2 linked regions of the Arabidopsis thaliana genome follow. The protein of the gene in region 2 interacts with the protein of the main gene of each other region in a pairwise test. Each region holds a gene or a part of one and is shown on either strand. Other genes may lie near its edges.

Region 1 (4,707 bases), on a different chromosome or scaffold from region 2:
TACAATCAAAGCAGAGCGAGTGCAAGATCCCGATGGTATTCTGAGTCTTTGTTATAGAGACAGCTCTAGTTTTAAAGTTCCAGACATAACTGTTCATTTCAAAGGAGGTGATGTGAAACTCGGCAATTTGAATACGTTTGTGGCAGTGTCTGAAGATGTGTCTTGCTTTGCATTTGCTGCAAATGAACAACTAACCATTTTTGGAAACTTGGCGCAAATGAACTTCCTTGTTGGATACGACACTGTTTCTGGAACTGTGTCGTTTAAGAAAACGGATTGCTCTCAAATGTAGCTCACTAAACCTTCTTATTCTTATTATACTACCCAATTTATTTCTTAAGAATAGTGTATTTTTCTCCTGAAGTACATGCTACATACCTATAATAAAACTGGTCTTAAATTTTTAGTGTTTGTGTTAGCGTGTAGCGACTATGTTTGCATTATCATTTTTATTTAACGTTTACAAACACATATATCATGCATAGATGTTGAAGATTTAATACTTTTAGAATTTATATAGAGAAAGAGTTATTCGTGAGAAATAAAACAAATTCTAATAAAAATAGTAAAAATATGATAGTCTAAAAAAAAAAAAAGATTAGACTACTCAATTTGTAAGTCTAATTTCTTACGAGTGACCATGTTGATCTTTTATGTATCGTTTCAACTTATGATAGTTTTCGTATGGTGTTTAATGAAACAAATACATCCAAACTTTCAAATTTTCTGTATTTAAGGAATTCATAACTTCGCATCTATCTTTAGGCAAATGGTTTTAGGTGACCTCTGTTAGTTTATGTGCATAAAATTGGATTCCAAATTCTTCTAAAGTGAAATGGGTAGTGTGTGCCCTGACAAACTTGAAATAAGAATCTATATTCTCAAGACGCATCGATCATAGAATTTTAAAATCACACATCATGCAAATGTAAAGCATCCAAGAGTAGTAATTAGATGCTAAAACGAAGGAGACCAATAGAGTTGCATTAAGTGGTTTTACACTTTTACACAGTTTCTGCAATATGATTAAGTAAAACTTGTGTATCCTCTTCTACTATAATTTGTGTTTTTTGGTTGCCTTTGACTTGAGGTGTCATCTCGAATACTCTGTCTCTAGCTTTCGTTGCCTGAAACACAAACCAAAACCAGATTCAAAACTGTAACCGTAACTAGAAGTAAAATGATTAGTAATTTATATACCTCTTGTTCCCAATTGGTGAAGAAGGTGACAAGAGCAAAAACAATGAGTTGGATAGTGGAGGCTATGAGTATACCAATCCAAAGTCCTTTCCCTCTCAATTTCATGACAAAACACAAGAACCATCCTAACGGGATTCCGACAAGATAATATGATCCTAAGCTTGCATAACCTCCTATACGTTGCCACCCTGATCCTCTGGCAACCCCTGAAATATGAAAGAATTCTTGATTTGAACCTACTTTCTTGGGGTTCAAGAAACAAAGTATAATCGTCTTACCTGAGAGCACGGCGAGAAAGCTGTTAACGAAAATGGATAGGCAGAGAATGGGTGTGATTTGGGTTGCGTAGCGAACCACTTCTCTCTCGTTGCTGAATACATAACCCCAACTTTTTCGGTAACTGTAAAGTGTGATGGTTGTTATTAATGCACCAACACCACCAAGGAAAATGGCAGAATTAACCGCGGCTCGAGCTGCCCTATGATTTCCAGCTCCTAGCTCGTTTGAGACATGTGTGCTATAGTGTTAAACAGGATAAAATAGGTTAAGAGATACTATGTTACATGAAAAAATCAGATTCTTGTGAACAATTGAAATCTATAAAACCTTGCGGATGCTCCTATCGCATTCACCAGAACGAAATGCACAGCCGATGTTGTGAGGCTGTTCCATGAATAGAAGTTAGGAATATCACAAGCTTTTTGACTGTTTGAATTATTTTACAAAATGATATGTATGTACCAAATGGATATCACCGATGTTTCGAGCTTTGAGTTTGGTAAGAGTCCAGACATTAGTAGTAGAATCTCAAACGACCACCATTCCAGGCTTTACTTACACACAAAAAAAGAAAGAACAAAGAACAAAAAAAATTATGGATTCATTGTAGATCAGAGTCAGACCAAGAAGCTTTTAAATCTTGCTGAGATTTGTTTTTTTTGGATGTAGATATGTAAATTACCATATCATCATTGCAGAGGGGATCGCGAGGGCGATGAACTGCTTCATGCTCGAGATGAGTTCTTGCAAACCAAGATTCTTCATTTCACGATGCAAAGCAGAGTATCTCATGAAAATCCAAAGCAAAAATACGTTGAGCCAATATGAAAAACCGATGGACAAAGCGGCGCCAACTATTCCAAATTTCAGTTTATAGACAAGAAGCCAACAGAAAGGAATGTGAAAACAAAGAGCTCCAAGAGAGCTCACGAAGAGAGGAAGAGTTATTCCTTGTGACTGGAAATACCGAGTCATAGGTTGAAGAAGAGTGAATCCGAATAAAGCCGGTATGAGCCAGATTGAGTATCTGCAAGCTAATTGAGAGATGAGAGGATCTTGATGGAAAATCTCCAAGAGCTTGTCCATGAAAAACCATACGATAGAGATTGAAAAACAGAAAACGAGAAGACAGAGCATTGAGCTGTAAGTGTATGCACCAATTTTTCCAAATTGTTCTGCTCCAAAAGCTTGACCGCAAAGAGTGTCTAACGCACCTGCAAACCCAACGATGAGGCTGAAACCAGTGACATTGGTGAGGGAAGTGGCAATTGCGACAGCTGAGAGCGAGAGCTCGTCCAAATGACCAGCCATAACCATGGAGATGACTTGAAGGAGGAATTGAGAAACCGAAACTGCCACCATTGGAGCCGCCATGGAGCTCACCTTCTTCATCATCTCCATTGACAAATAACTCATCCCATTCCTGTTATCTTCTTCTTCTTCCTCCTCCTTACGCACCAACGAGAAATCCGTTTCCATCATTCAGTTTTTCAGCAAAAACTCGTTGGATCAAAACATCTTTAGAATCTTTCAAGACAAAGAAATAATTTAAACAAATACCACTGAAGTCGTCTCCATTATAATTACCAGTGACCGGGTTAGTTGTCAATGATAGAGAATCAAACAAATATCTAAAATATTTCTATATGACAAGATTTCTAAAATATTTTACACCCAAATTGCAAAATACACTATATGACAAGATTTCTAATGTCTCCTACGAGGAAAGATCCTAGCTAGCCAGCTCATTTTATTTTCAGCTTCTTTATCCTAACAAAGGAGTTCTACTTTGAACATTTCCAAGGACTTATGCGACCATGTCGGCTTCCTGTGAATCAGGAACAATGATGTCAAGCCTCATCATGGCCTTATAGCGTTGAGGAACCCGAGCTCCACTGTGCATACAAATCTCAACCAAAGCAGGGGCTTTACCATAAAACCTTCTGAGGTTTCCGGTAAGCGGATTTCCCTTAAGGTCTCTCACATGCCATACATAGTTTGGAGGAAAGACTTCGTCCACAAGAGCATCTTGCCATCCGTGCTTCCCATCTCTCCATTGGTGCTTGAACTCTCCGCACAGCTTTACACTATGTCCCCATGGTCCTACATGCACTTCAGAACAATATCCGCATGCTTTCACTGTGAATTTCCTCATTAATTTCGTCACCCCCAATCTCACTTTCTCATAAGCATCCATTGTTTCCTGTGCTATCTTAGGTATATCCTCTGGAGTGGGAGGTGGATACCTTTCAAAAACACCAAGAGTATCAAGCTCGGCTAATGGAGATGATAATGATGATGATGTCTGAGGCTTTTCAGGCTCTTTATGATATCCACCTCGATCGATCACTCTCTTCCCCATCATTCTGATTGGCTGTGTCCTTCTGCGACAAGGATACTCAGGGATCTCAACTCCAGCTTGAATACATAGCTCAACAAGTGCTGGGATTCTTTCATACTCAAACCGTGTTTCATGCTTAATCCGCCGCCCGAAAGGGTCATACATGTGGTACGACTCAACAGGAATAAGAACATCGTTAATGGTACCCTTAACCCAAGAATGAGAACCACGTCGCTGTGAATTCGTTGGACCATTACAATCCCTAATGTTATGACCAACATTAGCCACATGAACCGCTCCACATTCACTACAAGCAAAGACGGGAACAACATGAAGAAGCTGTGCTAAACCCTTGATCAACAACTTCCAGTTATCTATCACTTGATCAGCCACAGGAACAAGATTGGGAACTAGCAATCCATTTTTAGGAGGATCCAACTGTTTCTCTATACCCATCTGAGCAAGTTTCTTATCTTTCCTAGCCTCTTCTTGGATTTGCTTAAAAGGAATAGGATAAGGTTTCTTCTTGTTCTTTGGTAAAATAGGAGGAAGATCCACATTCTGCGTAGATACATACCGTTTCTTAAAACTTGTCTGCTCTCTATGCTTCTGATTAAAACAAAAGACCGTTCCTAACCTCATCAAACACTCTCTTTTAGGGATTGAAGTAGGAATCTACATAAAAGAAGAAAAATCCAAACTTTACAACTTCAAGATAGGAATCAACAAGATCAAAGTTACAGGAGATGAAATGGTTACCTGAAAGCAAAGTGCATAAGAGGCTCTAGCTGAGAAATCAATTGGCTTTGGATCTATGGTCTGAAGATAAACACCTCTACAAGCAGGAGAAACCAGAAGCATGTTGACTATATAAGTAAGAACCCAAA
Region 2 (4,748 bases):
TAGCTACATATGGATGCACCTAAAATGGTAACAAACAGAAAAAGCTCATTCATATCCAAGCTAAAGAATAGATTCTAGGACATGCTGCTAAAAGATTGAAAATTTAACCATACCTGAGGATCAACATCAGGATTGATACGCAACAACACATTGACCTGCTTACCAGAAATTCTTGAAGCTTCCACAATGTTATTCAAGTCAAACTCACTATCAACATTTACGAAAACACCTTCTTGAGCAGCTAGAACTAAATCTTCCAAAGACTTTCCATTTCCATTGAAAATACACCTATTCATTTCATCCACACCGAAGACATGGTCAAAAACTACACATCAACATGAGACCAAATAAAAAAATATTCAAACTTTATTATTGGGGATAAAGAATCGTACTTTGTGGGATCGAAACCAGCAAGAAGAGCAAGCCTGAGCTCATTTCCACTAACCAACACAGCACCACAGCCCAAACTCCTCAAATGCTCCAAAATCTTGAGATTGTTATTAGCTTTAATAGCGTAACCAATAACAGATCTCACTCCTTCCAAAGCCTCTTTATAAGCCTCAAGGTTTCTCGTGATCTGAGGTTTGCTATATAAGTAAAAGGGTCGTTTCTCGACTGTTTCCATGATATCTTGAACCTTGGTTCCTTCGCAATAGAGAAACCCATCTGATGATTTCTTGAAACAGTGGTCGAAAGAGGAAGCAGATTCTTTCGTGAGGGTTTTGGTGGAGTTTTGGGAAACGGCGGCTTTGACGGAGAGGCGTTTAAGTGGCTTCAATGTTGACTTGAGAGACAAAAATGGGATTCTTGAGAGTGAAGTCTGATTCAATTGGTACTGATTTAGGGTTCCGCGGATTGATGAAGGTTGGGAGAGAAATTGAGTAACTGCCGCCATGGCTGGAGGATTTTTGTTAGGTGTGCGACTGTTACAGTAACACTGAAGGGTTTAGAAAAAAAAAGTCAACAAGTTTAAGAGTAGTTCCTGTCGGGTCCGGTTTTAGATATCCGACAATATCGAACCGGTGGTTATAGTCGAACCGATGGTTAAAAGAAGAAAGAACAAAGTCGATTTTAACTTCTTTTGGATATGGTTTTTGTCCTTGGGGGATAGTTTCTGCTAGTGTTTGTTTTGTTCGGTTGTGTTAGTTGTGTGTTGTAATAATCTTGATGCTTAAGGGGTCACCTAAAGCAGTCATGGAAATCTAGCCCTATCTATAAAAATTTGCCATTTCTCATCACCTACCAATACTTCTATTTGTTCGTATTATGCGGATATTCAGAGGATAATGTAAAACATTTTGTTGAATGCTAACGATGAAGTGCTCTATCTAGCCGTGCACGTTGTGGAGAAGTTATGTTTTAGAATCCACATTTGTTGAAGTTATGCTTATCATACTCTCTTAATTATCTATATCTATTACAAAGAGCAAGGAATGTTCTTAGTTAGGATTTGTTTTGTTTGGCAACCATTGCTTCTGGTTATTTGTGCTCTGCCTCCTTTGTAAGTTAGGATTTGTTTTATTCTTACAACTTTGCTTCTCTCGTCATACTATATAATCTCTGACTATGTATGTAATTGCATTCATGTCGATGGTTGTGGGATGTATATTTAGGTGTTTGACTGTAAGACGTTAAAAACAAACTTTACCATAAGTTATTGGGATGTCTAGACACTTTTATGGTTTGGTGAAGTAGGCTCAATGTTTTGCCCTTTATGTTTCCATTGTTGATGTTTATGTACCTTGCTGGTTGGAACCACTTGTGGATGTTTCCGACAATGCTTCTCTGTAATGCAGTTATCTTTTAATGAAATGTGATCGATCTTGAGTGTTATTTATTTTTATTTTTTTAAAGACTTTATGGTGTGGACACTTGACCGGGTGATAATTGGTAACTATACTACATAGTTAGAGAGCTCTTGAATTATTAATCACGCTAAATCTTGGGAATTGAGAGCTCGGAAGCAAAGGTTATTAACAAAATTCAAAGCAGAGCAGCATTGCCGATGAAATAATTATTGACTTGGGATTTACTCTCTGAAGTCTGAACCAAATCGAGATTATTCTAATTATATTTTTAATTTCGGATCCCTAATCTATTAATACTCCAATATCTGCACTCATTTAATTATTTCCTCTTTTTTTAACCTGCACTGACTTAAATTCAAACTTATTTCAATTGCGTGCACACTTTAGTGAACTACTACCACTATCACTATATGTGTCGGTGGATTATTATTTCCGTCATTTTGATATTTAATTACATCTTTAATTGTTACTCTTTTTTGCCCATTCTTCTTCTTCATTTGATTACATTATACTCTATTGTGAATTACTAAATTCTGAAAACAAGAAAAATTTGAGTACACAGGACACATCTTAGTATTACTCGTTACTAAAATACTACACGTGTAAATAATTTTTTCAGAAATAAATGGGGCCACTTTGTAAGTAATAAATCAGCTTACATTAATTATTTTACCACCCAATAAAAAGATTCCACAGACTTGGCATGGAAGTCATGAACATTCACAAAAATCTAAGAAAAACTGAAAACCGAAAAAAAAACAAATTATTAAAAAGCAATAAATAAATAAACTCAGAAAAAAAAGCTATTAAGATTCCACAAAAACTCTGTATTGTCTCTTTCTCTCTCACTATCTCTCTCTCTTTTGTGAGCTCAGATCTGACCAGAGAGAAAGAAACAACCGGAGAAGAAGAAGATGACTGACCGAGTCTTCCCAGCTTCCAAACCACCAACCGCCACTAATGGAGCTCCACCAGTTGGTTCCATACCACCTCCTCCAGCTCCGGCGACTGTAACCAGCAACGGAACAACAAACGGAATGGCTAATCAGAAACCTCAAGTCTACATTCCAGCTAACCGTCCGGTTTACCGTCCACAGCCTTACAGTCGCCGTCATCACCACCAATCTCGACCAAGCTGCCGACGAATTTGCTGTTGTTGCTGTTTCTGGTCGATTCTGATAATTCTGATCTTAGCTCTCATGACTGCAATCGCCGCCACCGCGATGTACGTGATCTACCACCCTCGTCCGCCGTCGTTCTCCGTCCCGTCAATAAGAATCAGCCGCGTGAACCTAACAACCTCCTCTGATTCCTCCGTCTCTCATCTCTCTTCCTTCTTCAACTTCACTCTAATCTCAGAGAATCCAAACCAACACCTCTCTTTCTCTTACGATCCTTTCACCGTCACCGTTAATTCAGCTAAATCCGGTACGATGCTCGGTAACGGAACTGTTCCTGCTTTCTTCAGCGATAACGGTAACAAAACTTCGTTTCACGGCGTGATCGCTACGTCTACAGCGGCGCGTGAGTTAGATCCGGATGAAGCTAAGCATCTGAGATCAGATCTGACGCGCGCGCGTGTAGGATATGAGATCGAGATGAGAACTAAAGTGAAGATGATAATGGGGAAGCTGAAGAGTGAAGGAGTAGAGATCAAAGTGACATGTGAAGGATTTGAAGGAACTATACCAAAAGGTAAAACTCCAATTGTAGCTACTTCTAAAAAAACTAAGTGTAAGTCTGATCTTAGTGTCAAGGTCTGGAAATGGAGTTTCTAGAGGGAATTTTGATAATTTCACAATTGAAATTTTCTATATAATCTTCTTCTTTTTTTCTTCTGGATTTTGTGAAACTTTTGGAATGATCCAAAAGGAGATTTCTTCAGTTGTTAGTTAAAAAATTTCAGAGAAGAGTCAGAGAGATAAGGTATTGTCAAGTAGAAGAAGGCCAGAGAATTCACGGCTTCTAAAAAAATTTCTTGGATTTTTGTTTTGTTTGGAACTTTCTTACTTGAATTTATATTTAATGGATACAGAAATATAAATGTAATACTTGTAACGAATGGAGTACTAAAAAGCTGGAGATTGCAGTGACTGCGTGATAGTGAGCATTAAAGTGAGATCGTAGTAGTAATAAACAGAACCTTAAAAATGGAAAAGATGCGTGGGGTTTGTGAGGAGAACAATGAAGAACACGAGAGATGTGTTAAATGTTAGATGTTGAACCATCTATCGCATTATACAACACCATTTAAGAGAAACGTGAATCGTCTTTAGTACTCTATAAAGCAAGCATATATTCTAGCAGTTGCATGTTATAAAATTAATACAGATCGATCACTCAATTCATGAATATGGTTTGATATAAACATTAAATTAAATGTCATGCTGTCATAAAAGATGAATTATATGGTTCATTTATCTAAGAAACTTTTTATTAACTAAGTAAGTAAAAGTTTGAAGAGGTCATTTGCAAGTGACTCCGACCAGGGATAGACTCCTGAAATCTTATCCAACTATGGACGACGACTTCATGTCGGTGTGTCCAAAAATGAGGAAAAGGAATCTGCCCAAGGGACAAATGGCATTACCCGAAACGGCAAAGAAGAACCGCAGGAAAAAAAGTTGACAATAACGTATGAGGTGTGACTGAAAAAGAAAAACTTGTAGTTTGGTTTATGACGTAAATGAATAATTTGGAAATGACAATAAGTCATCATATCTAATTTAGTGCATGACCTCCAACGTCGGCATATATTTGAGTCGGTGACCGGATATCCAGTACAAAGTAAAGTACAAACCAAAAAGAAAGACAAGACAATAAAATGGGTAAAGAAGACTTGCATACACGGACGTGATAGAAGAAGACATGCATAGTATAATTCTGACTTTCTGAGACCTTTAATGAAAATATTTGGCAATGTATTTCAAGAATAACTAT

The links.
Region 1: the proteins of EMB3135 (region 2) and AT1G64820 interact in a protein complementation assay, tested with the Arabidopsis thaliana proteins (one large-scale study listed by BioGRID).

Annotation. Positions count from the first base shown.
Region 1 is NC_003070.9:24,086,856-24,091,562, reverse strand, and holds AT1G64820 (MATE efflux family protein), read right to left. Parts: upstream 2,959-4,707; coding exon 2,162-2,958; intron 2,029-2,161; coding exon 1,942-2,028; intron 1,864-1,941; coding exon 1,807-1,863; intron 1,718-1,806; coding exon 1,479-1,717; intron 1,407-1,478; coding exon 1,201-1,406; intron 1,128-1,200; coding exon 1,005-1,127; downstream 1-1,004. Other genes in the region: AT1G64830 (Eukaryotic aspartyl protease family protein), read left to right, coding at 1-292; APO1 (APO RNA-binding protein (DUF794)), read right to left, coding at 3,287-4,495, 4,580-4,707.
Region 2 is NC_003076.8:3,829,048-3,833,795, forward strand, and holds EMB3135 (harpin-induced protein), read left to right. Parts: upstream 1-2,452; 5' UTR 2,453-2,722; coding exon 2,723-3,586; 3' UTR 3,587-4,104; downstream 4,105-4,748. Other genes in the region: AT5G11880 (Pyridoxal-dependent decarboxylase family protein), read right to left, coding at 1-19, 114-288, 393-895.